Drosophila melanogaster: one gene and its partner. The main gene of each other region encodes a partner of the protein of the gene in region 2 in a complex. Each region holds a gene or a part of one and is shown on either strand. Other genes may lie near its edges.

Evidence for each region.
Region 1: CG7483 (region 2) and mago share a complex: the UniProt entries of both Drosophila melanogaster proteins name them as parts of the mRNA splicing-dependent exon junction complex.

What each region holds. Positions count from the first base shown.
Region 1 is NT_033778.4:21,126,991-21,130,337, forward strand, and holds mago (mago nashi), read left to right. Parts: upstream 1-1,586; 5' UTR 1,587-1,703; coding exon 1,704-1,964; intron 1,965-2,022; coding exon 2,023-2,205; 3' UTR 2,206-2,747; downstream 2,748-3,347. Other genes in the region: Tmtc3 (transmembrane O-mannosyltransferase targeting cadherins 3), read right to left, coding at 1-29; magi, read right to left, coding at 2,885-3,318. UniProt on the Drosophila melanogaster protein: Core component of the splicing-dependent multiprotein exon junction complex (EJC) deposited at splice junctions on mRNAs. Involved in exon definition of genes containing long introns, including the rolled/MAPK gene.
Region 2 is NT_033777.3:8,311,131-8,314,884, reverse strand, and holds CG7483 (uncharacterized protein), read right to left. Parts: upstream 1,678-3,754; 5' UTR 1,548-1,677; coding exon 1,415-1,547; intron 1,355-1,414; coding exon 988-1,354; intron 933-987; coding exon 741-932; intron 680-740; coding exon 172-679; 3' UTR 21-171; downstream 1-20. Other genes in the region: CG11698 (uncharacterized protein), read right to left, coding at 1,853-2,641; CG11694 (uncharacterized protein), read left to right, coding at 2,817-3,602. UniProt on the Drosophila melanogaster protein: ATP-dependent RNA helicase. Core component of the splicing-dependent multiprotein exon junction complex (EJC) deposited at splice junctions on mRNAs. Involved in exon definition of genes containing long introns, including the rolled/MAPK gene.

The DNA of each region.
Region 1 (3,347 bases), on a different chromosome or scaffold from region 2:
TGGATTCCGGGGTTGGGGTTCGTTGACATGTTGATTTCGCGTTACTTCGTGAAAGGCGTCATGTACCCACAATTGTTCGTTCAGGCGGCGAAATGTTGCATGTAGGGCTTTACCCAGCCACGGTCGGCAGGTCCCTAGATGGCCTGGAAAAAAATGAGAAAGTGGGAAAACCATTAGTTTAAGTTAACTGGAAACTAATTAAGTATACAAGTCCACCAATTTAAGTATAGACACTTCCTATTAGTGAGAAAGCCCCTAAATGTAGGCAACATACATATCTATATATTTTTTTTGAAAGGGGATTCCCCCGAGCAACAAAATTGTGCAGTAATGTATATGTAAGCCCTCGCATCTTTTCTGGATACACACCCAAATCCTCTTACTTTCCATAGTCCTTCATCCGCAACTTACCGATTTTCCCCCAAGTCAAAGTCTTTTTAAAGACAAACTTTCTACCGCTTTTTATGAGCACTTGAAGTTATACAAAGAAGCAAAAACTGATTGCGGAAAAAATCAATTAATACGCAACAAAGTAACTCCTTCCCGGTTACTGTCCTGGTTACCGACTGCACACACAAAAGCCCGAAGTTAACAAAGTTGTAACCCGGGCGGACCGACAGAGCTCCGGATCCGGACTTTGGGTACGCACAAGTACAAGTATGCGGACGGAGAGCGCTTTTAGAGAGGCGAAGAGCGCGTGAGAGATTTGTTTGCATAAACTGTTGTAAATGTTGCGGGACCTGGAGCATTACTAGGCGGGGCACATCGGTGGGCAGATGGGCGGATGCCACAATGTTGCACTCAATGCCATCGATTTTCCGGGCGTTCAGTCAAAACAAACCACCACAAGCGAAGTAAGCGCTCGTAAAGAGCGAAAAAAGGGGCCTAGCTTCAACGGGAGCTGGAGAGGATTGCATCTCAGCTGAGCGCAACTTTGTTGCACGACCGACTTTTCCCGAAGGACGACCGGGCGGGCACGTGCTCCGTTTACCCTTATTCCATTTTCCCGCCAAGAGCGACACATGCGCGGTCCCGCATCCTTGCACTTTCACTTGCCAGGACGTGCGCTCTCCGTGCTCATGGCTCTCCCGCTCGCCGAGCGCAAATTAATGGCCGTGTGTGTTTTTGTAAAATTACTTTGACCGAGATACGGGGCACTGGAGAAGGATAAGGACATGGCGATGGCTATGGGCGCTGGAACCGGAGAGCCAGCCGCATGTCCTCTCCCATTTTAGTGACATGGACGCCATTACAACGGCGATGGCCTCGCACACGCACACAATCACACGGCCGCAAACAAACCCGATTTGCCAACTTTGTTTCAATTCGCCAATAATTACAATGTTGCCCAGCGAGTTTCGAGCACCGTTTAACAGATGGGTTCTCACACACCGCCCTGTCGTTCACATACTTGTTGAGGTAGTTCCATGGCATCCAAAACTGAATTACATTTTAATAAAAATCAGTGCCAAATGCGCGACTTGTACGTGGATTATTGTTGTGTTATCGATACGCCGATAGGCTGGCTTCTCTTCCTCATCCCTGCCAGCCATTCGCAGCGAACACTTATCGATACGCGGTGATAGTTATTCCGTGTGTTTTCCCATCTCTAACGCGTTGTAGTAAAGGAAAAAGAGTGGGAAACCAAAAATTGATATTTTTCTGAAAGTCTTTCAAAGTTACGCTTTAAACTAGAAGCAATCATGTCCACGGAGGACTTTTACCTACGCTACTACGTCGGACACAAGGGCAAGTTCGGGCACGAATTCTTGGAGTTCGAGTTCCGGCCGGATGGCAAGCTGCGGTACGCCAACAACTCCAACTACAAGAACGACACCATGATCCGCAAGGAGGCCTTCGTCCACCAGTCCGTGATGGAAGAACTGAAGCGAATCATCATCGACTCGGAGATCATGCAGGAGGACGATCTGCCCTGGCCGCCACCAGATCGCGTGGGTCGACAGGTCGGTTTGCCGCACTCCGTAACTAGAGCTCAACTAAACAACCATGTGTCTTTTTCAGGAACTGGAGATCGTCATCGGAGACGAGCACATCTCGTTCACCACCTCGAAAACGGGATCATTGGTGGACGTGAACCGGTCAAAAGATCCCGAGGGCCTGCGATGCTTTTACTACCTGGTGCAGGATCTCAAGTGCCTGGTCTTCTCACTCATCGGCCTGCATTTCAAGATCAAGCCCATATAAGCCGTAGCCACCACCTCAAGCATAGCCTATTTATCGGACGGACACATCGTATTTTATAATGGAACTTCTACGATACTTGTAATTGTATAAGCTATACCTTTGTACTTTTTGGTACAGTTTGCAGTGAATAAAAAAGGATTGGAAGATACTTTGTTTTCAAAGTCTTGTGTACAGTCTAGATTGTGCTATAGAAGTAAATAGCAAATCTTCGATGTAGTAGCAGACAACAAGTTTAACAATAATAGCAAACACAATAGTAAACCATTTAACTTTTGATGTTATAATGTGTAGGTATATTTGAAAAATACAATTTAATATCTATTGTGTTTGAATAATATACATACTCGAGATAAAAATTTAAAGTCCTTTACATTTGTACAATTCGTATATGTCTAAAACAGCTTAAGCTAAGTGATTAATATCTCACAAACTGGCAAATTGTCTTAACGTTTAAGTACAAGCAGTAACTTAGCCTAAGATAATGATCGGTATCTTAAGAAACTGGAATAAAATACGCACTCACATACGGTTTTGAGACTTGCAAAGGGTTTGGCTTACATATGCTACTAAATTCAGTCTTTGGGGTGAGTACTTTGCTAACGAAAGTACAAACTAAGGGCCTGCAGGCGATGCAACACTATAGAAAGCTCTTATAGAGCCGAATGCGTAGGTCTCAGAGTCATAATTGTGGCTGCTGATGCAGCGCCAAAGTGGCTGAGATATTGTTACTGGGTCGCTCCAAATAGCTGCCATGTCCTGGCACGGGCATTGACATTGGCATCTCAAGATGCTGGTGGTGGTGATTCAGCTGCGCTTGCTGTAGATGCTGCTGCGGAAGTTGCTGCTGGTGGGAGAGTTGTGCCTTCAGGAGACTGGGAGATGCCTGCAGCGGAGTGTTGCTGGACACACCGACGCTACTGCCGCCAGGACTGGGACCACCCTCCTTCAGCGGAACGCCGATAGTGAGACGCACATGAAGACCAGACTCCTTGATGAGATTCACTACATCGCCGTGCGACATGCCAGCTATCTCGATGCGGTTTACTGCCACTATGCGATCGCCCACCTTGAGCTCTCCACAACGATCCGCCGGACTGCCGGGTATTAGTTTCCCTTAATACGTTGATATGTTAGATGAATTG
Region 2 (3,754 bases):
TTTGAAAAGCAAACTGGTTTCTGTATTAAATTCTTACGTGTTATTTATTATTATTATACAGATTTTGGTTGTCTATTGAAATTCAAATACTCTTCAAATGTATTTACTTCATTCGTTTGTTGTTACGGCTAGGAAAAGTGCGTTACATAAAAGTAATGATAGAATATTAGTTTAGATCAAGTCAGCCACGTTCATGGGCATCTCGTCGATTTGTGTGGAGTAGTACTGCTCAATGTCGCGCAGGATGCGGATATCGTCCGATTTGACAAAGTTAATTGCAACACCTTTGCGTCCGAAACGACCAGAACGACCGATGCGATGGATGTACAGCTCACGGTTGTTGGGCAAATCGTAGTTGATGACCAGCGACACCTGCTGTACATCGATACCCCGAGCCCACACATCGGTGGTGATGAGCACTCGCGACTGGCCGGCTCGGAACTCCTTCATGATCTCGTCACGCTCCTTTTGCGGCATATCGCCGTGCATCGAGCTGACTGTAAAGTTAGCCTCGCGCATCTTCTCCGTCAGCCAGTCCACCTTGCGTTTCGTGTTGCAGAAGATGACGGCCTGGGTAATGGTCAGAGTATCGTACAGATCGCACAGGGTATCGAATTTCCATTCCTCGCGCTCCACGGCGACGAAGAACTGCTTGATGCCTTCCAGTGTCAATTCGTCACTGTGAGGGAATGGAATTTATGAATCATACTGCGTATATGGGGGAGCATCATATTGCTTACCGCTTGACCAAGATGCGAATCGGATCTGTCATAAATTTGGAGGTCATCTCGAGTATCTCGTGGGGCAAGGTAGCTGAGATGAGCACCACCTGGGTGGCTGGTGGCAAGTAGCGATACACATCGTATATCTGTTCCTTGAAACCCTTATTAAGCATCTCGTCAGCTTCGTCCAGCACTAGCATCTTGATGGCTCTATAAAATGTACTTATAATTATAATATTGTTTGATCGGGCACAATGAAACATACCTTGTTCGCAGCACTCGTCGCTTGATCATGTCGAAGACTCGTCCTGGAGTGCCGCTCACAATGTGTTGACCGTAGTCCAATTTGCGGATATCCTCGCCCAGGTTGGTGCCACCGATGCACACATGGCACTGGACATTCATCATGTCGCCGAGGGCAAGAATGACTTTCTGGATTTGCACAGCCAACTCGCGAGTGGGCGACAGGCACAGAACCTGCGTCTCCCGCAGCGTGGTGTCCAGGCTCTGCAGGATGGAGATGGAGAAGGTGGCGGTTTTGCCCGTGCCTGATTGTGCCTGGGCAATCACATCCCGTCCCTTGACGATAGGCGTAATGCTCCTTTGCTGAATGGCCGAGGGTTTCTCGAAGCCTTGGGAGTGCAGAAAACTGGATTAGTTCTAGACCGGCCATAGGTATACACACCACTCACCGTACGCGTAGATGCCGCGTAGCAGCTCCTCCTTTAGATTCATGGCGTTGAATGTGGGTATCACCTCCACATCCTCGCTCGTCTCGAACTCCACGTTGGAGAGGTCCTCCGCCTGGGCATTCTTGCGCGCCATGTTCACGATTTGTTCGCGTGCGGTTTCGGCTGATATTAATAAATATTTACAGTCTTTTTCGGCTAATTTTTCTGACTTTCACAGAAAAAAATGCGGTCCGCTTACTAGGGGTGGCCTATCAATTGCTTAGCAACAATCGATTATTGAATCGGCGTCGATTTAATTTGATATCGATATGTTTTCACTTATTTTGCGACAAGTGGCAACACTGATATCGGGCGGAAAAAATTTAAAGTGAATATATGTTCTTATTTATTGTATTTTATAAAATATAAATATGATTATTGCCATAACAAACAAGAAACTCAACTTGTTTTTTCCGGAGTGCTACTTCTTCTCCTGCGCAGGAAGTTCTCGAGCGACTGAAGATCCTTTCGCTTCAGCATCTTAATCCTGCTCACCAGTTTTTGCAAAGCTTCGATCCGTTGCTGTGCTTCCTTGGCGGCGTCGTTGGCCTTCTTAGCGCTCTGCTTATTTCGCTCCAGATCCTTCTGAGCCTCGCACATGCAGCTATGGAGCTCTTCCACCCGCATCCTGGCCGCTTTCAGAAGGCTGCGCTTTTCCAGGGCCTCTTTCTGGGCACTGTCGGCCATCCTCCGGATGTTATCGAGATTTCCGCCCATTTCCTTTAGCATACTCTTCATAATGTTCACGGATGTGCAGAGCTTGTCACGGATCCCCTTTGCCGACGTCGCCGAGCACGAGCTGGCAGCAATGGCTCGTTGGATTTCCTCGATAACCCTGTTCGTTTCTGCCAGACTTTTGGTGTATTCATCGAGGAGCTGCTTCTTCCCGTTGAGAGCCGCCTCCGCAGCCTTGGCCGCCTGCAACGCCCTGTCCGCCAGCATTTCCCGTGCCCTGTAGCCCGCCATCTCCGCGGCACATGGCTGCGCATCCTTGGCGTCCTTCGCATCCTTGGCCGCCTTCGAGGCCACCTGGCTGGCTTTCATGCTCGTCTTGCAGGGAAGGGAGCCGGGCTTGAAACGCGGATCATTCCGCTGGGCAGGATGCGCGGCGGTCGACAGCAGGATGTTCGAAAGAAGCAACATCGTAACCAGGGAGTCGCAACGCATTGGGAATCTTGCATCGTACATAAATCTCAAGGCTCATCAGGAAATCGAAATGTGGAGATAATAATGGGAATATAGCAGCTCCACCTTTCAAATCACTATTATTTGAAATATTTGTACAGTAACCACAAGTTACCTGGAGTATATATTTCTTAAATATCTTTAGAAATCCGTTTAATACAACTATTTCGAGTTAAGCATGGAGATAGCACGAATCGCATTTCTACTTTTCTTCCTGTTCTCAGATCATTCTGCGGGCCACAAGTTGCCGCAGTCCTCCAATGAGATAGCTGCTCTAATGTCGGATCATCATGGTGATGGCGACAACAGTGTGTCGTCATCCTCCGGCGGTGCCCCGTGCGACTTCAAGATGAATGGAAAGACCAGGGTAAAGGCCTCATGCATTGCGCAGAAGGCGGCCAAGGAAGCCATGGAGGCATCCGATGCCCAGATAGAGGCTGGCGAGGCAGCTGCCCGCCAGGTGAAGCAGCAACTGGCCGACAAAGCGCTGGCCGCAGCCAAGGCGGCAGAAGCTGCTCTGGCCGGCAAGCAACAGATTGTCGAGCAACTGGAGTCCGAGGTGCGCGAGGGGGAGCTAGTGGTCCAGGAGGAGAGCACCTTGTTACAGACCACCCAAACTACTTATGCTGCGGCCGGGCAAGCGGCCAAACAGGCGGCAGATCAGCTGAACACCATTACGCTGGCGGTGAAGAATGCGCAGGATAATGTGGTCAACTCGGAGCACGTGGCCAGTGGCGCTCAGCAGGAGCTGGGCGAGAAGCAACAGCTTGTGGAAGCGGCCAAGAAGCGGGTGGAGCTATTGCTCCGCCAGCTGGAGGTGGCCCGTGTGGATTTCAAGAATACCAAAAACGCCGCCGAGAAGGCAGCCTGTGCTGCCCAGGAGGCCAGGCATAGGGCCACCAGGGAGCGCAGGAGGGCGGAACTGAGGCACTTACTCTGGCTGAAGAGGGGGCGCACCAACTGAAGCCAATAACTTGTATATCTTATATTTTATTTTACTTTGCATTTTCAAAAGGGAGAATATAATTCAGTTTTATTAAATTCAATAGTTCGTAGGTGAGATCACAATTATAAACTACAAATTGTGACATCAAGTTTATCATGATGCAATTGGGG